Linked DNA regions of Struthio camelus. The protein of the gene in region 3 interacts with the protein of the main gene of each other region in a biochemical or structural test. Links are inferred from orthologs where the notes say so. Each region holds a gene or a part of one and is shown on either strand. Other genes may lie near its edges.

Region 1 (7,115 bases), on a different chromosome or scaffold from region 3:
TCAACCTAAGTACTAGACATCGTTAAAGAATGTAGTTCAATTGAAGATATACTTTCTTAAAAGAATTTTTGACTTGATTCCTACGAAATGCGATATAGTATCTCCCTCTTTAATTGTGACTCTACATGGCAAAAAAGTGCAAACCAAGCAGACAGCTGGAATGAAAACAAAGAGAATTTAGTGTGTAAGCTTCCTAATGCGTTACATTTTTATTTTTAAAAATATATACATAAAATAGAGACTGCCAAGTTTGTGAGAAACAGTCTGGACTCTAAGGACTGGATACAGATATAATGAATGACTTGTGCAATCCACAGAGAACTAGACGAAAAAAGCCATACAGAGATCTGCAAAAAGCAGACTAAGCTAAGGAGTACATTTTTGGATATTATGTAAATGAAAACACTAGCCAAAGAAAATGATGAACTTTCAATAGCTTCCAAACCAAGTAAACACTAAAGCTTACAGAGGCTGGTATATTTTGGTGGGTGAGCTGGAGGGGAATTTAACTTCTGGTTCGACCTACTAGCACCACCAGCAATTACAGAGTCCAAAAGTTCAAGTCAGTTTCCAAGTTGGAAAGTTGCTAGCTCATGTCCTCTTGATAACATTTATTAGAGAAATCAAGCTTATTGACATCTGTTTCACAATAAAATACACCAAAGCTGCCCTTGACTCTACCGTTAGATGACAAAAACCAAATTCAAAAATTCATCAGAGATGGAGAATAAATATCCATTACATTTCTAGATTTTTTTCCTTCTTGAAGTTACCCACTGGTTCTGGCAAAGCTTATGCATGCTATTCTTACCCCTGCTTTCGTTCTCAATACTAACGTAAGCAAAATTCACTTCAGATACTGGTCCGTTATTTGCAAGGACTTTTTCTCTTGTTGTTTAACAAAACCAAGAAATGAAATGGTATGCTGGCTAGAAACCCTTCAGTTTGTAGTTATTCTTTCATTTAGTACAAACAAAAACATAAAGGTTTTATTCACTGTAATAACTAGTGCAAACAACCATATCACTTACAAGTAAACTCTCCACCTAAATACTTGTTTTTACTTCTAGTTTTACTTCTAGTTGCTCTAGAATAGCCATGCCTGTGTAAAACTACAACTGCTCTGTCCTTGAGGCTACGAGGGTTACAGTTTTCAGGAGCTGCAAAGGCCCAGCTCTGGGCAGACTAGACTAGATAAGCCTGATTTTACACCTTGCTCACTTTGAATTTAATGATCTCAACCTCTCAGTCTGCAATGTCTTTCTGACCCTTGAAAGACATGCACAATGCCTGTAGACATAGATTTCTGCTAAACGTTTTTCCCAGAACACTTTTCTGATGCTTCCCCTTCTTTCCTGCTCTTATAGTCTCTGCTTTCTGGTTCTGTTTTAATTTTAGGTCCATTCTAATTTTTCCTTATCTGTTTTCCAAACACCTAATTCCTCTGCTGATTTTATTTTACTGACATTTCTCCAAACACTAGAAGCAAGCATGTAACATTGAATGTGGCTATCACAGGCAAACATTCATTTTTTGTGCCATCCGAGAACCGAGTCAGGTCGCCAATGAACGTTCATATTCATAGAAGTTGTGCTACAAATATTTTTTTTTTTTTTTAAAGTTCACAATAACTAATGAAATCTTTAAATCATTCCTCAGAGTTACACTTTAAGACTGAATTATTGGAACATGAGGGAGAATTAATTCACTTTTCTTGCAGTCCCCCTTAGAACCTGTTCTTGGCAACATTAACAGTGTGATGCAGGTGACTTTTTTTTAAGCTAGGTACTTTATTGATTACTGAGGTCACAGATAGTGTTTTCTCCTACAAGTCGAGAAACTATGTGCCTTCCATTGTCAAATAATATCTCCGCAGTTTATACGTACAGTGTACATACTCCAACTGTGATACAGAGCACTGGGTTATCTCAGAGATTCTAAGTACGTCATTAAGATTTACACAGCATAAAATGAATGCAATAACACTTTAAGCAATACCAAAACTTTAACATACAGAATGATATAAAAAGCCACAGTAGCACTAGAAAAATAGAAACAGAAATGCTGTAATAAAATTCCCCCAAAGCCTTAACAGAATCTGTATGAAACACTAAAACGACGAAGTACGAGTTACAAGGTGAACTGTGCAAGAAAAGCGTTGAGATGGGGAGGCGCGCTGATCTGCATAGGCGTCTAGCACAGCACTTGAACGCTCCGCATTTAATTTTGGCGCTAGAGCAAGGGCTTTCTACAGTTCCAGAACGATCAGCATTTCTGCACTGCCGTTAAAACGTGACGAGAAAAAAAAGAAGAAAAAGCAAAAAAAAAAAAAAAACCACAAGACCCTTACTGCGACACCGTTGTGCTAGAAAATCCAAAAACAAACTTTTGTGGGTAGGGGGTGTGGGGGGGAATAAAGCTCCTGCGAGTTTGGCGCGGCCCCCACCGGCGGGGAGCCCCGGCCGGGAGCCGCCTGCAGCCCGGTGCCTGGCTGCGGCCGGCACCTGCCGCTCCCGCCGCCTGGGAGCCGCGGCGAAGCCGGGCCGGCGCGGAGCCTCCCACCGGCGGCGCTGACAGGGCGGCGCGGCGCGGCCGGGACAGGGCGCGGTCTCCTCACCTGCGCGGGCCGCGGCGGCGGCCGGCGTCGCGCTCCCTCCCTCCCACCCGCCCGCCCGGCCCCCGGGAGCGGCCTCGGGCGGCCGCCGCGCCCGCTGCCCTCAGGCCTGCCCCGGCGCCGCGCCCCGCGGCGGCCTCCTCCCGCTCCCGCCGCGGCGCGGGTTCCCCCCTCTCACCCCCTCCTCCAGCTCCTCGTCCGAAGCCGCGTCCTCGGGCTGGTCCAGGTCGATGTCGAAGACGCCCGCCATGGCGCGGGTGTGAGCAGCGGCGCCGCCGCCCCTTCCTCGCTGTGCTGAGTGCGCGGGGCCTGGGCCGCCTCATGGGCCCGCACCCCCCAACTCTACCACGGCCGCCATCACCGGCTGCCAGGCCTCAGCGCGCCTGCGCCCCCGCCCCGACTCCCGGCGCCGCGCAGGCGCACTGCGTCACCCGGCATTGGTGAGGGGCCGCATTGAGCATGCTCAGTGGGCACCCCGCTGGGTGACAGCCCTCGGGGCCGGAGCGGAGCATGCGCAGCACGCGCTCCAACTCCCTTGAGCCTGGCACGGAGCGTGCGCAGAGGGCAAGAGGCGGCCTTTCGCTGCGAGCATGCGTACTGCGCTCCGTGAAGCCCGCCCGTCTGACCCTCGCCCCGACCTGCCCGAAGTTCCCTCTGAGCATGCGCGAAGCGGGTTGTTCGAAGGCGCGTGTCGGGCCGAAGCGGAGGGCTCGTGCAGGAAGGGGCTCGCGCATGCGCTGTCGGGCGCCCCCCCCCGAGCGCCTCAGCGGGGGGTGTCGAGGTCAGCCCTGAGGGGAGCTAGGGGCCGAGCGGGGCCGAGGGCGGCCGGCCCTGTCCGGGCCGGGGGGACCAGCACCCTGGGGAGGGCCGCTGTGCCCGCGGGCAGGCGCGGGCGGGCGGGGGTCGTCGAGGATGAAGCGGCTTTGGAAGGGGAGAGGTGGCGGCGCGAGGTGGGCAGCAGCGGCGACATGGCGGCCCCGGCCTGTGGCGTGAGGCGGCGGGCGGGCGCCCCCCGGGGCGCGGTGCCGACGCTGGGCGCGGGCGGCCGGGGAGCCGGGGCTGCCCTCCGGCCGCACCTGGAGCATTTTCGGAAGCTCGTGTACAGCTTTATTTATTTCCTGCCGCGAGGAGTAACTCTGATACGCGGCCTGGCTTTAAAGGGGGGAGGTGCGGACTAGCAGAAACGCTGAAATCCAGCATAGGAAGCAAAAACAAAAGCAAAAACAAAACCAAAAAACACATACCTGCCTACAAAGTGCGGCAGGATCGAATTACAGGAGCTGGTGGTTATCCCAAGAACGCCGTTACAGATGTGCTGTGGCACAGCTGGGACGATAATGACAAATAGCAGCCCAGAATAATGAAGTGAGTTCAAATATTGACCTTGTCTTTGTGGAAAAAGAAAAAAGTGAGAAACCAGAGTTACAGCAAAAAACTGAGTGGAAAAATGGCCAAGCATGCCAGTATCACTCTGGTTGGAGGAAGGAGTATGCTCTAGGGGACTCTTTTGTCACTTCAGCTGGTTTTGGCATCAGCTGGTTTGGCTTCAGCTGGTTTTGTCACTTCAGCTGGTTTTGGCATCAGGCCCCCAGCAGTAGGACTGGAAATCAGCTGGCTTTGCAAATGGGCTGCACATTTCTAAAGGCATCTAGTACTTTCTTAGTATAGTTATTATGTTCTTATAGCCTCATCCTCGGGCTTTGCTGGATTTCTAATGATTATTTTTTACTCTGCCTTACTAAGCGAAAGTGAGAAAATAGAGACTTAACTTTGTTTGCTGTATGGTTGATTTCAGTTCTGTTAAGATATATAGCAACAGTAAACAGACTGGCTTCCTCTAAATGGTCACCGAGATTCTTCTGACATTCAGGATGAAGTCTTACAGACAGCATTTCCCCAGGAACAAGCAGTTGTTGTAGCATAGCCTTTTCCTCCTCACTAGAGTTGGCAAAAGTTACAAAACTGATCTGAATTTTTTTTTTCCCAGAATAACTAAAAGGCATGCTTTTCCTTTTTAGGGTTAAATACAAAGTGAATAAGAATGTCAGTAGTCACAGTCCAGCTTGGTCAGTGTGGTAATCAAATTGGGCACGAGGTGTTTAATGCTATCTGCAGTGACGTCCATGGCACGCATGGATTGTGTTCCAAGAAGGAGAATGAATCATACCATGACGCTTGCAAAGAACGCTTTTTCAGTGAGGAGAAAGCTGGAGGTACAGCGTTTAAAGACTTTTGTTTCCCACAGAGGGTCTTGTTTCTAGCCTAGCATAGTTAAGAATACAGAAATAACATACACTTTTACTTTGGTTGAAGAATTTTGCCTTCATTCTTAAAGACTTGTCACAACCATCTGTCCTCATGAGGCCACTTACAAAGGCAAAACCACAGTGCAGTAAAGCACCTGAGGCCACAGAGCAAGTATGCCAATAACAGAGCTGGAAACTGAGCTACCTATACGTAAATCTTTCCTTCCAACCTCTCCTTTTTTCCAATTTATGTAGATAATAACATGGAGCATGGTCATATCAAATCCCAGTTCTGTGTTATGAAAGGGATAGTTTTTTTCATGAAAGGTCTCTGGAGTTCAGATCTCTTTGGAACAATAGGTGGTGCTCTAGAAACTTGGAATGTTGCCAAGTTCTGCTTTCCATACTTTTCTGTACTGTCCCATTGAAGTTGACAGTTCAGTTTATATGGGTGGGAGGAATACAGTTTGGGCCTTGGTACAAGCCTGTCTGTCTGTTTGTCTTATGTAAACAAATTCTAAGACTGGCATATTATTCTTAGTTTTATTTTTCTTCCTCTCCAGTACCTGTTGCCCGGGCTGTGCTTGTTGACATGGAACCCAAAGTAATCAGCCAAACCTTATCCATAGCTGCCAGGTCTGGCTACTGGAAATATGATGATCGATCACACTTCTGTCAGAAACAAGGGTCCGGGAACAACTGGGCAAATGGGTATGAACAATCATTTCAAGCTTTGCTAACATAACTGTGGAGGGTGATGAGCAGACTAGACGCTGTAGGAATGGTATTATTGCAGCTGTGCAAGTACAGAGTCTGTAACATTAGCTTGTTTTATTTTTACGACAGAGTAACAATATGTGTAATAGCAAAATTTCTGACTGCTTTTTGCAACGTGAAATTGGCATTCACAGTGAAGAATATTTTAAAACTGAGTGATGAATATTATTAAAAAAGAGAAAACAACAAGCACATTTTACAAACAGCTGTTTTTTTTACAACACAAATGTCACAGCTGAGGATTGTTTCTGACAGGTAGAATTGGTGACACAATAGTAGGTTATATAACTAATAAAAAGAAAAGCGTGCTTTATGAATAGGTTGATGTTATTGCTTTTATTTTAATAGAATCTGCCATGTCTTGCTGCCTTCTCTGTTATTCAACAGTTACTCTGTTCACGGGCCTAAACACAAAGATGTAATCATGAATCTGGTACAAAAAGAAGCAGAGAAATGTGACCGTCTCAGTGGATTTTTCACAATAATGAGCATGGCTGGTGGTACCGGATCCGGCCTGGGAGCATTTGTGACCCAGTGTTTAAGGGATGCTTTTCCAGCCTCGTTTATACTAAACCATGTTATCTGGCCATATGGAACTGGTGAGGTGAATGTCATATGTACCTTACATATTCTACAAAACTTTAATCATGATTACAAAAGAATAGCAATGTAAATAAATAAGACTCCTTACTAGAAGTAAAAACAAAATGTCAACTACTGAAAGAGACTAGAAAAGAGAAAAATTTTACTTTTTCTAAGTTCAACATGACAGAAGGCAATACAGCTAATGAATTGTTTGCCTAATAGCTAGTACAGGTGGTTTCACACAAGAAAAAAATATTTCAGAATTATTTATCAAAAGGTTATTGTTGTCAATAAAGGTTATCAAAATTATTATCTCAAGCTAATAATGATAAAAAAGTTTATACCTTAGCTCTTGTACTACTAGATCTTAATGGAGTATCTTCAGAAGCTCTGCTATCTAATTAGAAATGTTACATTGTGTGAAATGTTATGTAGTTATGATAGTGACCAGGTACTATAATCAGTTCCAAGAGAGACTTTCTTCTAGCATGTTTGGATGAACTGAGCCGGATCGTATGATTTTCACAAGTCTTGCTCTCTGTCCATGAGAAAGCTATGCTAGCTCCTAGCCTAAATTTGGTAAAGAAAATGAATCACTTCCTAAATCAGACCTACGGAAATGATAGTACCCAGAGGAATATAAACTAGAAAGAATAAGTTGTTTGACTCTCATGTGTGTGCGTGGTTTTCTGCTTCCAGGTCATTGTTCAAAACTACAACTCCGTTCTGACTCTGTCACATCTGTACCAGTCATCAGATGCCCTTCTTGTTCATGAAAACGATGTCATTCACAAGATTTGTGCTCAACTCATGAATATTAAACAGATCTCCTTCAGGGATGTAAATCAAGTCATTGCACACCAGCTGGGAAGTGTTTTCCAGCCCATTTACAC
Region 2 (7,335 bases), on a different chromosome or scaffold from region 3:
GTTGGGGGTCCCGGGGGCAGCCGGGGGTCCCAGGGGCGGTTGGGGGGCGGTTGGGGGTCCTGGGGGGCGGTTGGGGGGCGGCCAGGGGTCCCGGGGGCGGTTGGGGGGCAGTTGGGGGTCCCGGGGGCGGTTGGGGGGCGGCCAGGGGTCCCGGGGGCGGTTGGGGGGCAGTTGGGTGTCCCGGGGGCAGTTGGGGGGTGGTTGGGGGTCCCGGGGGCAGCCGGGGGTCCCAGGGGCGGTTGGGGGGCGGTTGGGGGTCCCGGGGGCAGTTGGGGGGTGGTTGGGGGTCCCGGGGGCGTTTGGGGGGCGGCTGGGGGTCCCGGGGGCAGTTGGGGGGTGGTTGGGGGTCCCGGGGGCAGCCGGGGGTCCCAGGGGCGGTTGGGGGGCGGTTGGGGGTCCTGGGGGGCAGTTGGGGGGTAGTTGGGGGTCCCGGGGGCGGTTGGGGGGCGGTTGGGGGTCCCGGGGGTGGTTGGGGGGCAGCTGGAGGTCCCGGGGGGCAGTTGGGGGGCAGTTGGGGGTCCTGGGGGCGGTTGGGGGGCGGCCGGGGGTCCCGGGGGCAGTTGGGGGGCGGTTGGGGGTCCCGGGGGTGGTTGGGGGGCGGTTGGGGGGCAGTTGGGGGTCCCGGGGGCGGTTGGGGGGCGGTTGGGGGTCCCGGGGGTGGTTGGGGGGCAGCTGGAGGTCCCGGGGGGCAGTTGGGGGGCAGTTGGGGGTCCTGGGGGCGGTTGGGGGGCGGCCGGGGGTCCCGGGGGCAGTTGGGGGGCGGCCGGGGGTCCCGGGGGCGGTTGGGGGGCGGTTGGGGGTCCCGGGGGTGGTTGGGGGGCGGTTGGGGGGCAGTTGGGGGTCCCGGGGGACGGTTGGGGGGCGGCCGGGGGGCGGTTGGGGGGCAGTTGGGGGTCCCGGGGGACGGTTGGGGGGCAGCCGGGGGTCCCGGGGGCGGTTGGGGGGCGGTTGGGGGGCAGTTGGGGGTCCCGGGGGACGGTTGGGGGGCAGCCGGGGGTCCCGGGGGCGGTTGGGGGGCGGCCGGGGGTCCCGGGGGACGGTTGGGGGGCAGCCGGGGGTCCCGGGGGCGGTTGGGGGGCGGCCGGGGGTCCCGGGGGCAGTTGGGGGGCAGTTGGGGGTCCCGGGGGCGGTTGGGGGGCAGCCGGGGGTCTCACCGTGGCGCCGGGGGGCTCCGGCGGCCGCTCCAGGGGCTCCCACTGCAGCGTCACCGCCCCGGGCTGCGCGCCCCACGCCAGCGCCCCCAGTGCGCACCAGTGCTCACCAGTGCCCACCAGTGCACACCAGCACCCACCAGTGCTCACCAGTGCCCACCAGCACCCACCAGTGCGCACCAGTGCCCACCAGTGCCCACCAGCACCCACCAGTGCACACCAGTGCCCACCAGTGCCCACCAGTGCTCACCAGTGCCCACCAGCACCCACCAGTGCCCACCAGTACGCACCAGTGCCCACCAGTGCCCACCAGCACCCACCAGTGCCCACCAGTGCCCACCAGTACGCACCAGTGCACACCAGTGCCCACCAGTACGCACCAGTGCACACCAGTGCCCACCAGCACCCACCAGTGCCCACCAGTGCTCACCAGTGCGCACCAGTACACACCAGTACCCACCAGCACCCACCAGTACCCACCAGCACCCACCAGTACGCACCAGCACCCACCAGTACTGACTAGCACACACCGGCGCCCACCAGCACCCACCAGCACCCACCCCACCGGGCCCCGCCCCAGATGGACCCCGCCCCACCAGGCCCCGCCCCCTCCTGATCCCACTCCATTTGCCCCGCCCCCATCTGGCCCCGCCCACAACAAGCCCCGCCCCACCAGGCTCCACCCCACCGGACCTCGCCCCACCAGGCCCCGCCCCCTCCTGGCCCCGCCCCTCCAGGCTCCCCCCACCAGGCTCCACCCCCTCCAGGCCCCGCCCCTCTGGGCCCCTCCCCCTCCAGGCCCCACCCCCAGGCCCCTCCCCCTCCAGGCCCCGCCCCCTCCAGGCCCCGCCCCCACGCACCCGCTGGAGGAGGCGCAGCACGCCGGGCACGAGCGCCTCGCGGGCCCAGGGCCGCCGCACACGCGTGTGCACGAACACGCCGCCCCGCTCGAAGGTCACCTGCCGGCGGGACACGCCCACCCTCACGCCCCCGCCAACGACACGCCAGCGACACGCCAACGACACGCGACGGGCACGGACACAGGATGGACACGGACACAGGATGGACACGGACACGGGACGGACACGGACACGGGACGGACACGGACACAGGACGCTGGGACCCGGACACGCCAGCGTCACGGGATGGACACGGACACGGGATGGACTCAGACATGAACATGGGACAGACACGGGACGGACACGGGACGGACACGGACACGGGATGGAGACAGGATGGACACGGACGTGGACACGGACACGGGACGGACACAGGATAGACACGGACACGGGACGGACCCGGACACGGGATAGATGCCGACACGGGACGGGCATAGACACGGGGCGCAGGGACCTGGACACGCCATCGTCATGGGATGGACACGGACACGGGATGAACACGGGAAGGACATAGACACAGGACGGACATGGGATGGACACGGACACGGGACGGACACGGACACGGGACGCTGGGACCCGGACACGCCAGCGTCACGGGACGGACACGGGATAGACTCAGACATGAACATGGGACGGACACGGGATGGACACGGGACGGACACGGACATGGGACAGACACGGGACAGACACAGACACGGACACGGGACAGACACGGGATAGATGCCGACATGGGATGGGCATGGACACGGGGCGCAGGGACCCGGACACGCCAGCGTCACGGGACGGACACGGACGCGGGATGGACTCAGATATGAACAGGGGACGGACACGGGACGGACACGGACAAGGGAAAGACACAAGATGGACACGGGACGGACACAGGACAGACACGGGACGGACACGGGACAGACACGGACACGGGACGGACACAGGACGGACACGGACACGGGACGGACACAAGATGGACATGGGACGGACACAGGATGGACATGGGATGGACACGGACACGGACACAGACACAGGACGGACACGGGACGGACACGGGACGGACACGGACACGGGACGGACACAGGACGGACACGGACACGGGACGGACACAAGATGGACATGGGACGGACACAGGATGGACACGGGATGGACACGGACACGGACACGGACACGGGACGGACACAAGATGGACACGGGATGGACATGGACATGGGACAGACACGGGACAGACACGGGACGGACACGGGATGGACATGGGATGGACACAGACACGGACACGGACACGGGACAGACACGGGACGGACACGGGATGGACATGGGATGGACACAGACACGGACACGGACACGGGACGGACACGGGACGGACACGGGATGGACATGGGATGGACACAGACACGGACACGGGACAGACACGGGACGGACACGGGATGGACACGGGACGGACACGGACACGGGACACGCACGGGATGGACATGGGATGGACACAGACACGGGATGGACATGGACACGGGACGGACACGGGACGGACACGGACACGGGACGGACACGGGACGGACATGGGACGGACACGGGACGGACACGGACACGGGACGGACATGGGACGGACATGGGACGGACACGGACACGGACACGGGATGGACACGGACACGGGACGGACACGGACACGGACACGGACACGGGACGGACATGGGACGGACACGGACACGGACACGGGATGGACACGGGACGGACACGGACATGGGACAGACACGGGATAGACTCAGACACGGACACGGCACGGACACGGACACGGGACGCTGGACCTGGACACGCCACCGTCACGGGAACACGGGACCTGGGGTCACAGGGGTCACAGGGGTCACGGTGGGGTCACAGGGGTCACGGCGGGGTCGAGGGAGGCCCGGGGGGAGGGGCGTCACGGGAGGGGTCACGGCGCGGTCACGGGGCCCCGCCCCCTCCGCGAGGCCCCGCCCCCTCCGCGAGGCCCCGCCCCCCCCCCCCCCCCCCGGCCCCCTCACCCGCTCCCCCTCCGCCGCCATCCTCCTGCCGGCCGCTTCCGCAAACAACCCTGACGTCACTTCCCCCGAGACTCCCCGCCCCTTCCGCCGGACGCGGCCCGGGGGGGGGGAGGAGGAGGGGGAGGAGCCGCGCGCTGACGTTGCCCCTGCGCGAGGTGGGCGCCGCCATGTTGGGGCGGAGCTGGGCGCCGCCATGTTGGAGCGGAGCTGGGCGCCGCCATGTTGCGTAGCCGGGCGGCGCCATGTTGGTAGGCGGGGCTCCAGCTCGGCTGCCCCGGTGGGGTGAGAGGTCAAAGGTCGCGGCGCGACGTCACCGCGGCCGCGCCGTGACCGGGGGGGCCGGCGCGGAGCGACACGGACCCGCGGGGAAGGTAACGGGAGGGGCCCCCTCCCCCTCCCCCCCCCCCGGGAGGGGGGCCCAGGCGTCCGGGCCCTTCCCCTCCCCCATGTCCTGAGAAGGGGGGGCCCCGGCGTCCGGGCATGAAGGGCCCAGGCGTCCCCTCACCCGAGGGGCCCAGGTGTCCGGGCATGAGGGGCCCAGGCGTCCGGGCATGAAGGGCCCAGGCATCCCCTCACCCGAGGGGCCCAGGCGTCCGGGCTATGAGGGGCCCAGGTGTTTGGGCACGAGGGGCCCAGGCGTCCCCTCACCCGAGGGGCCCCGGCGTCCGGGCATGAGGGGCCCAGGTGTTCGGGCACAAGGGGCCCAGGCGTCCCCTTACCCGAGGGGCCCCGACGTCCGGGCTATGAGGGGCTCAGGTGTTCGGGCACAAGGGGCCCAGGCGTCCCCTTACCCGAGGGGCCCCGGCGTCCGGGCATGAGGGGCCCCGGCGTCTCCTTACCTGAGGGACCCAGGCATCCGGGCATGAGGGGCCCAGGCGTCCCCTCACCCGAGGGGCCCTGGCATCCGGGCATGAGGGGCCCAGGCGTCCCCTCACCCGAGGGGCCCCGGCGTCCGGGCATGAGGGGCCCCGGCGTCCAGGCTATGAGGGGCCCAGGTGTCCAGGCACGAGGGGCCCAGGCGTCCGGGCACGAGGGGCCCAGGCGTCCCCTCACCCGAGGGGCCCCGGCGTCCGGGCTATGAGGGGCCCAGGTGTCCGGGCACGAGGGGCCCCGGCGTCCCCTCACCCGAGGGGCCCAGGCGTCCGGGCACGAGGAGCCCCGGCGTCCCCTCACCCGAGGGGCCCAGGCGTCCGGGCATGAGGGGCCCCGGCGTCCCCTCACCCGAGGGGCCCAGGTATCCGGGCATGAGGGGCGCAGGCGTCCGGGCCCTGAGGGGCCCCGGCGTCCGGGCATGAGGGGCCCCGGCATCCCCTCACCCGAGGGGCCCCAGCGTGCAGGCTATGAGGGGCCCAGGTGTCCGGGCATGAGGAGCCCCGGCGTCCCCTCACCCGAGGGGCCCAGGCATCCGGGCATGAGGGGCGCAGGCGTCCGGGCCCTGAGGGGCCCCGGCGTCCGGCCACGACAACTCCATGTCCCCTTCTGTTTAGGGACCCCGGCGTCCGGCCGCGAGGGACCCCGCCGCCCCGTCACCCGAGGGGACCCCGGCGTCCGGCCCTGAAGGACCCCGGCGTCCGGCCGCGAGGGACCCCGCCGCCCCGTCACCCGAGGGGACCCCGGCGTCCGGCCGGGCCGAGCGTTTCCCCCCAGCGCCGCCCCCCCCCCCGCCGCGGCGCCCCAGCTCGGTGGGCCAAGGGGGGGCCCCGGCGTCCGGGGCCATGGGCGAGCGGGAGGGCTGGGCGGCGCTGGTGGCGGCGGCCGAGCGCTTCCGGGGGGCGTCGGGGGCCGAGGTGGTGCTGCTGGCCGCCTGGGGGGCTCCGGGGGGCTTCGCCTACGCCCAGCACGGCGGGGGGCCCCTGGGCGACGCCGCCCGCCGCTACCTGCGCGACATCGCCGCCGCCCACCGCGCCGCCGCCGCCGCCGCCGCCGGCCCCCCCCCGCCGCCGATGACCCCCCCGGCCGCCGCCGGCGGGGGGACGACGACGACGACGACGACCCCCGCCGCCGCCGCCGCCGTGACGCCGGCCCCCCCCGCGCCGCCGTCGCCCGCCCCGGCCCCCCCCGGCCACCACGGTCGCCGCCGCGGCCGCCACCGCCGGCCCCCCCCGAGAGACGGGCGCCCGGGCGGCCCCCGGCCCCCAGCGACGCCGGCGGTGATTTTTTGGGGGGGGGAGGGTCTTGGAGGGATCCTTGGGGTGCTGGAGGGGTTCCTTGGGGTGTTGGGGGGGTCCCTGGGGTGCTGGGGGGGTGCTGGAGGAGTTCCTTGGGGTGTTGTGGGGGTCCCTGGGGTGCTGGGGGGGTGCTGGAGGAGTTCCTTGGGGTGTTGGGGGGGTCCCTGGGGTGCTGGGGGGGTGCTGGAGGGGTTCCTTGGGGTGTTGGGGGGGTCCCTGGGGTGCTGGGGGGGTGCTAGAGGGGTTCGTTGGGGTGTTGGGGGGGTCCCTGGGGTGCTGGGGGGGGTGCTAGAGGGGTTCCTTGGGGTGTTGGGGGTTCCCTGGGGTGCTGGGGGGTCCTGGAGGGGTTCTTTGGGGTGTTGGGGGGTCCCTGGGGTGCTGGAGGGATTCCTTGGGGTGTTGGGGGGGTCCCTGGGGTGCTGGGGGGGTCCTGGAGGGGTTCCTTGGGGTGTTGGGGGGTCCCTGGGGTGCTGGGGGGGTGCTGGAGGGGTTCTTTGGGGTGTTGGGGGGGTCCCTGGGGTGCTGGGGGGGTCCTGGAGGGGTTCTTTGGGGTGTTGGGGGTTCCCTGGGGTGCTGGGGGGGTCCTGGAGGGATTCCTTGGGGTGTTGGGGGGGGTCCCTGGGGTGCTGGGGGGGTCCTGGAGGGGTTCTTTGGGGTGTTGGGGGGGTCCCTGGGGTGCTGGGGGGGTCCTGGAGGGATTCCTTGGGGTGTTGGGGGGGTTCCCTGGGGTGCTGGGGGGTCCTGGAGGGGTTCTTTGGGGTGTTGGGGGGGTCCCTGGGGTGCTGGGGGGGTCCTGGAGGGGTTCTTTGGGGTGTTGGGGGGGTCCCTGGGGTGCTGGGGGGATTCCTTGGGGTGTTGGGGCGGGTCATGGGGTGCTGGGGGGTGCTGGAGGAGTTCGCTGGGGTGTTGTGGGGGTCCCTGGGGTGCTGGGGGGGTGCTAGAGGGGTTCGTTGGGGTGTTGGGGGGTCCTTGGGGTGCTGGGGGGTGCTGGAGGGGTTCATTGGGGTGTTGGGGGGGTCCCTGGGGTGGTAGTGGGGGTCCTGGAGGGGTTCGTTGGTGTCCTGGAGGGCTCCTTGGGGTGCTGGGGAGTCCTGGAGGGGTTCGTTGGGGT
Region 3 (7,863 bases):
TTTGTTACATCCCATCAAATGCTAAAGAGACATCCAACGCCAGATAGAAAAGTTAAATAAAATAAAATATATGAAAAACAACTATGAAAAGAAATGAAAAGAGATTGAATATTCTCAAGTTATCTTCCTGTCCTCTTTCAGATGTTTTATGTGTTTTCTATATATTCCTATGACCCCACTAAAAGCAGTTACACCAAATGGCAAGTTTGGACAAACAGTAATCGATAAAGCTGTCCAGACACACAGCGACATATCACCAGAACCACTAATCCTTATATAAAGGAAAGTTAACTTGAAACAAGTAACAACATTCATTTTAGACTTTCCAATAACATGTAGGATTACAAAAGCAGAAGAGCAAAACTGAAAATTTAAGATTTGTTTCTATTTTCTTCACTTACAAAAATAAGACTCTCAGTAACTTTGAGAATGAAATCAGTCAGAGTGTGACTTTGCCGTGCTCATTCATAGCAAATAACACACTCAAAGCACGGAGGAGTCTTAAAAGAAGAAATTACCACTCCATAGGAGTGAGGATGGTAGGAACTGGGCCGTGACAATTACTGTAACCATTGCTCTTGTCATTAAAATGATTCCCTTTGGCTGTAACATGCATGTGAAACACAGGCAGCAATCAAATACAGAGAAGACAGCTGATTAATACCTCTTTACTTATACTTTAACCTATTGATTATCTTGATCAGGTCAATATCATTCCTCATTTAGAAAGAGACAGCTTTGCAGATCAGGAAAGAAGTGAACAGGAAGTTTCACAGGAAGGCAGAGACCACTAAAATAGACAAGCAAGCTCATCACACCTCCACAGTCTACTAGAGACAGCATCTCTTCTTTGCCAAAACCCTTTAAAGAAGACATACCACAGAACTTTGTGTTCTGTGGCTCATTTAAATTAAATTCTACTCCAAAAATCTCATTCCATTCCATTAATGGTCTGCCAACCCAATTTTCCAGTAGATGATTCCACACAGCCAGACAATTTTGGCCCAGGTAGAGCTATGTGTTCCCAGCATTTCTGAGAATTATAACCATTTAGGTGAATACCCCTCTAGGAACATTTAGATTTGCATATAGCATTCTCATACCCAGCCATAGCGCCTCTGGAAAGAAAATGCAGGACAGAGTTTCACTGACTTCCCAAGTAAGGTCACAAAAGGGATCCCAAACATAATAGAAATTTAGTCCCTCCCTCCTCCCCCCCCCCCCGATCTTACAACCATGATTAGTATCATTTGGCTGAAACATGACTGAAATGTGCTGTAGAACCACTCTAAGCTACAGAAAATACTACTATTGGTGTCTCTTTAAAACTCATCTCTCTCAAATGTGTAAATTTGTTGCCTATTTTTTCATTTTAAACAATTACACAGCTACTTCTCATACTATCATCTCACTTACTCTGATCCCTGGCCCTTCCCATATAACAAATAGACATTTTTCAAAATTGCATAGCTAATATAAAATTGACATTGTCACTCTGGCCACTTTGCTTCATCGCGTCTACAACCCACTCTATCTTCTTCTTTTTTAGATAGCATTTAACACTGGAAAGGGACTACGCTCATCTTTAACATGCCTAGTGCAACAAAATCCCAATCTCAGCTGTTCTGTTGGCATTGTAAAACATGCATCATTAAAAAAATCAATTCAACTCTTAGAAAGATATGAAATATCAAAAAAGTATGTGGGAAGAATTATTAACAAAGAATGGCATCACAAACAGATTATCACCACACCAGGGAGCGTAAAAATAATCTACTTGGTTCTAGCTACGTGGTACCAGTGTATAAATACTTCCAGAAACACGTTTTGTGAACGTAGAGACGTTACTTCTTCAAAAAGTTTCAGTCACGCAAAAGATAAATTTGGAAACAGAGTAAGTATTCACACACACAGTCATATGCACACATATCTGGGCAGAACGCCTTTGAGACCTCAGGACTCCTGTAAGTCAAAGCAGATCCCAAGAACAGAGTGAGCAGAGCTGACTATCCAGGATGCTTTGTTTGTTTTTCATATAAGCAGAAAAGTTTAAGTGGGCACTGAGATGCAGCAGAGGATTCCAGATACCCTAGCAGGGATATTTGTCTGATGCACTTTATCAGTTTAACGTGCAACAGATGTTTAAAAACAAGAGAAGCACCTTGCTGTAACACAATGAGAACTTGATCTAATAAGTATTTTTGGCTCCCAAAAAGATCACGTGATCTCAGTTTCTTTCCCCTGCAAAGAATACCTTATTCATATATTCCACATAACACGTGGATGGCAAACTTCAAAACTCACAAAACTTCCATGCATCTTCACCACTAAACAACTACAATGATGACATTTATCACAACGTGCGTGCTTGCATCATTAGCCTGCTGATCCAGAGAGCTCCTTAAGACCTCATTAATTATCGTCTTTCTTGAAAAAACACATACATCCGAATTTTACTTGAAGTGCTTAAATAAAGGAGTTACTCAAAAGAGTAAACTACCATGAACTAACGATTAATATTTTTGATTTGTCATATGGCCGCAGGGGAAGTAAACATGCAGACAAGCACACAAACTCAGGGCTAGCTGGACTACAAGACCAGATACCCAGTGCTTCATCTGAAAATAGAGCGCAGCTGGAACTACAAAACCCCTCGGAGCTGCTATTCCTTCTTCTTCACTGCCTCCCCCGCCCCCACCACACACAGAACCCACCCTGCCCTTGAGCCTTACCCGGTCCTTCATCCTCCAGCTCTGAGCCAAAGACTTGGAGCCCTCGATCTTCTCACAGTGCCTCTTCTTCATAAAGGCCAAGGGCAAGTTCCAGTCCGTCAGGTCCGACTCGTCCTCCTCGCCAAGCCCCAGGAGAGGCGACTGCAGCATCTCAGACTCCATCGGGGGGGGAAGAGCCCGGCAACGAGCGCGCAGCGCGGGCCGGCCCGGCGCTCGCCGCGGCTCCTCTCCGGGCGCGCAGGCAGGGACGAGGCGGGAGGCAGCGGGCGCCCCGGCGCTCCTGCGGGCAGGCCGGCGGGCAGCAGCGCCGTCGGCGAGGCGGGCGGCGTCTCCCGGCCCCGCGGGGGGCGGCCCGGCCCGGGGCCTCCACCCGCGCCTCTAGCCCCGCGGGCCCTGCACTCTCCGCGGCGGGAGCCGCGCCCGGCCCATCGCGGCTCCCAGCGCCCGGGCGGGCGGGCGAGCGGGCGGACGACCGAGTAAGCGAGCTGCGACCTCGGGGCGGGCGTCAGGTGGGGAAAACGGGAGGGGGAAAAAACCGGGGCGGCTCGTCCTACGGCGCCGGGCAGCCGAACTCCTCTCACCAGCACAGCAAGGAGGCGGCCATCTTCCTCCGGCCCACAATGCACCGCGCTACGGGCCGCCGCGTGGGACAAGCCGGGCCGCCGCGCGCCGGCCCGCCCGCGGTTACCATGGTTACCAGCGCGGCCCGCCCCGGGCCTAGCGCGGGACGAGGCGGGAGGCTGCGGGCGGCCCTGTCCCTTCCGCCGCTGTCCGGGGCGCCCCGCCGGCCCTTCCCTCAGCCTGCGGCCGCAGGGGGCTGCCCGGCGCCTCGGAGTCGCCCATTTTAGCGGCCTCACCCAGCTGCCTTCTCCGCAGGGACTCCTCCACCCTGTGGCAGAGCCCCGGTGTCCTCCGGGGCTGTCGCTCCCTGGGGTGCCCTCTTCGCAGAAGAGGAGAATCCACTGAGCGCTTGTGGGGCCCTAAAAGCAAACGTCCCCAAAAAATCCACGCGGCTTATATCGCCAACGCCTGAGGCAGCGCAGAGCCTTTCGGACCGCCGTGCTGCCGCATTGTAGTCCTGATGGTCTTCATCGTAAAGAGAGTCACAAATAAATCCGTGATTTCCAGTTCTTGGCCCTCAGTAGCATTAACATGCTCCTGTTTGTTCCCAGTTTCCCCAAACACGCGCTCCTGCAGCGCAAGCCCAGCCACTAGTCTAATTTGCCGCGGCTCGGGCCTTGTTTCAGTTGTGTTGTCATTCATGCGGGGGCAAAAAAGCAGAGGGATAGTAAAAGGGGACAACATGCTTCAACAGAGTTACATCTAATATATGCTCGCTCTCTATATAAGGAAAAGCAAATGTATTATTTTAGGATTATATCCTCTTTACTATCAGATAAACTATTCAACACTGCAGGTTAATATCAAAAATTGCTCTTAATGGAGTTTCTCAGTGTTTGCTCTTAGCAGTAGACAAGTTGAACTGTATTCCTATTTACAATTTAAATGTGGATAAAAATTATTTCAAAGTATAAATCTAAGAATACGTGCACAATTTGATTTATAGACCCATATGAATTTTCGTTACCATTTTCGGTGTGTTCACATTCATGAAATACTTTAAATGCAAAGACTGTTCTCCACAATCGGCTGGAAAAGAACGTTTCTCGAAGGCTCTGGTCCTGGGGTCGCCAATGTTTTCTGTCGTTCATTTGATTTACAGACTGAACTGATTCACTGTTTCATGGATGTTTAACGTTGGTGGCTGATCATAACTACCTGATTGTTATTAAAATGAATGGCCATGGCATGGAAAGCGCTTATGGTTGCATTTCTGCTAACCTTTAATGGATTCATAATACCAGCGGCAGCTACACAAAATAGGACTAACAATCTCAACACATTACCTGAAAAATTACAGCTCGAGCACCCAGCACAACTAATCCACCCCAGCTGAAATGCCTGAACGAACAGATGGACCCCTGCGCTGTGCAGTGAAGGATGCTAATCCGAGATCCTGACAGAGCATTAGGGAGCATATCCTGGAGTCGGTGCCTATCCAGCGAGAACAGCCTGCTGTGCAGCCTCAGGAGCTGCCAGCGAAAATACCTTTGAAGGACACAGCTGCCAGAGAGCAGAGAGCACAAATCTGCCTCACTTCACATATGCAAAGCTTTTAAATGGTGATTATTTAAGATAAGAACCATGTGTTATCACAGTCCTCTAGGCTGAGTCCATGGCATCTGCCAGAACCATGTTCACCCACTCCCGGGTAGCTGCTCCCTGTGCAGACATGTCCTTCCCCTTTATTTCAGGGACTTCTCTGAAACGCTGTCCTGCTCATCTGAGGACCTCAGCGTTCCCAGGTCATTTATCCCTTCCTCTCCAGCATCTCTGCTCTGTTCCACATAATAGAGGCTCTATGGGGAAGGGGAAGGGAGGAGGAAGGGAAAGGGGAGAAGACTCCTCAGAATGGAGCTAAAGTGATTGCTTCGCTGTCTGGATAAGAACCAGACCGTGAGAACAGGCTGTCAGCAAACCTCCCGCACAGCTCTGTGAGCGCATCAGCTCTAACCTGCAATACCCCCATTATCCCAGACATACGCTCCCCAGGAGGACCTCAGTCTAGACCTGAGGCTCTCCACATCACTGTTCCAATTGCAGATCCACCCTGCTCTGCCTAATTACATCTTTTCTTATCTTTCCAGGCTGGGAATCCTCATGCTGCCTGCTTCTCAGTACCAAAGGCAGTATGAGATACATGGCAATGGCATCAGGACCCCCATTCCTTCCTGGGTCAGCCCTCTGGCCCCGGATTCTGGGCAAAATAACAAATTAAACCGATACATTATAAGATCATCTTGCCTTAGAATAATAAGGTGATAGAAGGTCCCTGCATGCAAGCAATTCTTTTTATACATATATATATATATGAATAGGTGCAGAATGCTGCCTTAGCAGCCCTTCACACTCACACTGTACTGGATCAAGCTGTATACAAATTTCCATGGAAGAATAAAAACAGTCATGCTCCTGGAGATACCTGTGGATACAGATCCACATAGCTGCAAACCTACTTAAGGCTATGTGAACCAGGCCTGTCCTCTGCTGCCCTGCCGCTTGCTCTCGGTGGCAGCAGAAAGCCTAGAGCCAGTTCCCACTTTCGTAACACGGTTTCCACACAGCAGCCTCTTTTCACAGTTTTCACAGCCGTATTCCTCTAGTCTTTGTGCAGTGATTCAGGATGGAGCCTTTGCTACCTCTGAGGATTTGGGTTGCATTGCTGGGGCACTGCAGAAGAGCCACATGAGGGGAACGTCAGAAAGGCCGGTTTCTTGAGAGCCAGAGGGACCTCGCAGGCTCCTCGGCACCTTCTTAAGGCTGCTATGCCATTTCTACATGTAATAAAACACCGTAAGTCTCTGCAGTGAGGAAATACTGCCTCTACAGACAGCAGCTCAGCCAGGAATGGGCTGGGATAGGACATCGTCAGTGTGCGTATCCACACCAGCTACACGGCAGCACGGCGCTGCCCCCCCGCAGTTACCACCCCTGGGCTGGGGGTGCCGCCAGCCCCAGCCGGCGGGGTGACGGGCTGCCTTCCCTGCCCTCGCACCCGGCCACAGGGAGGACCGTTCAAAACACCCATAACCTTAGCAAAGGGGATGCTATGGGACGGCTCAGATGACACAACCTATGCGCTAAGTACGCATTATTGTTTTTATGCATGATGAAAAGGGCATAACATTTACTTTCAGTAAATTTATGATTGGGAAAGTGTGAACTGACTGGAGCCAGTAAATAACAAATGAAAAAAATACATCTGCACTTTATCAGGTCTCTCACGAAGCCTCACAAATATCCTTTTCTAAAGGACATATGCTGCAGGTCAGCAGGGATCAGTCTCCATCTGAATTCCTAATTTTGCAAATTTTGACAGAAATCAGAATGAATTGATTTATTCAAATATAGCACTGCCAAGCACTTGGCCCTGATGGCATCTGTCCTCTGATAGTGAAAATCTTCAGGGTGGTGGTTGTGGGCTCTCTTCGATCATTTGCAGCTATATGCTTTAATCAAAGCTTATTTCATTTCCATTGGACAAGGACCAAAGGGAGCCATAAATAATCTTTCATTTATATCTCCATAAAAATTACTTGTTAGAAGTGATGCTTCCTTCATTTCACTCTATAGTCCAGTGTCAGGTCCTGGCTCCCTTCACCCCAAAGAAGGTTCTGCAGCTTTTACTCAGGAAAAGTATTTATCAACTTGGACAGACCACAGCAAGCCCCATGCCACTAGAGTATATAATTTAGGCTGCTCATGTGCTTCTCCAGCCAGTATATGCCTGAGCTTTGTTAATGTTCTTTTTATTTATTTATTTATAATGTTTAGTTCATATTTCTGCAGTATCACAGGCTCTTAAGACCTTCAGTGATAGAGACTACCTAACTTCTCTAGGCAATGTGCTCTGAACAGCTCATTTCCATCTTAAAATTAAAGTAGGTACTTCATTCCTGCCCTCAGTAGATGGAGAGAACAGTTTATTCTCTTTTCCTTTCACCTCTTTTATGTATATGAAAGCTGTTTTTAAGTCTTCTCGTGGTTACCCCTTCTCTAGACTCAACAATTCCACTTTTTTTAGCCTTTTTTTCCATATTACATTCCTAGACCTCGTATCCTGTTGCTCTTCTCTGGACTCTTTCCAGCTGATTCACACCTTTCCGGAGGCGCAGTTTCCCAGGCTGGGCTCTGCTCTCCAGGCGCAGCCTTACAAGCACTGGCTGGGGCAGAAGGACGGTTATGTGCCTTTCACTGACTACTTATTTATACATCCCAGTATGGTAGTTGCTCTTTTTGAAATAGGATAGTATTGTTGAGTCATGTTCAGCTCGTGATTCACAGTAATCCCCAGATCCTTTTTGCTGGAATTGCCATGTAGATGTTTTAACCTGTTCTCTGCTTTGTGCTGTTCCAAAGCCTGCATGTGGAACATTGCATTTCTCCATATGGAAATTAAATCAAATTTTTTACATATCTCCAGTTTGTCCAGACCATTCTGAATGCCAGTCCCAGCCCCTTACATGCTTAAGGCACACTCAGCTGGAATTGGAAAATCTAATAAGCATAC

The links.
Region 1: of the proteins of RPTOR (region 3) and RPS6KB1, one has a biochemical effect on the other in vitro, tested with the Homo sapiens proteins (6 studies listed by BioGRID and IntAct, with this or other methods). The link is inferred for Struthio camelus from reciprocal best matches to the Homo sapiens genes RPTOR and RPS6KB1.
Region 2: the proteins of RPTOR (region 3) and AKT1S1 interact in a biophysical measurement, tested with the Homo sapiens proteins (2 studies listed by BioGRID and IntAct, with this or other methods). The link is inferred for Struthio camelus from reciprocal best matches to the Homo sapiens genes RPTOR and AKT1S1.

Annotation. Positions count from the first base shown.
Region 1 is NC_090957.1:18,707,789-18,714,903, reverse strand, and holds the start of RPS6KB1 (ribosomal protein S6 kinase beta-1), read right to left. Parts: upstream 3,015-7,115; 5' UTR 2,865-3,014; coding exon 2,793-2,864; intron 1-2,792. Other genes in the region: TUBD1 (tubulin delta chain), read left to right, coding at 4,656-4,827, 5,424-5,571, 6,025-6,241, 6,922-7,115. UniProt on the Homo sapiens protein: Serine/threonine-protein kinase that acts downstream of mTOR signaling in response to growth factors and nutrients to promote cell proliferation, cell growth and cell cycle progression.
Region 2 is NW_027182627.1:110,824-118,158, forward strand, and holds the start of AKT1S1 (proline-rich AKT1 substrate 1), read left to right. Parts: upstream 1-4,321; 5' UTR 4,322-4,427; intron 4,428-5,543; 5' UTR 5,544-5,771; coding exon 5,772-6,011; intron 6,012-6,118; coding exon 6,119-6,206; intron 6,207-7,335. Other genes in the region: TBC1 domain family member 17-like, read right to left, coding at 1,155-1,217, 2,012-2,110, 4,057-4,077. UniProt on the Homo sapiens protein: Negative regulator of the mechanistic target of rapamycin complex 1 (mTORC1), an evolutionarily conserved central nutrient sensor that stimulates anabolic reactions and macromolecule biosynthesis to promote cellular biomass generation and growth.
Region 3 is NC_090960.1:1,159,851-1,167,713, reverse strand, and holds the start of RPTOR (regulatory-associated protein of mTOR), read right to left. Parts: upstream 3,006-7,863; 5' UTR 2,895-3,005; coding exon 2,733-2,894; intron 1-2,732. UniProt on the Homo sapiens protein: Component of the mechanistic target of rapamycin complex 1 (mTORC1), an evolutionarily conserved central nutrient sensor that stimulates anabolic reactions and macromolecule biosynthesis to promote cellular biomass generation and growth.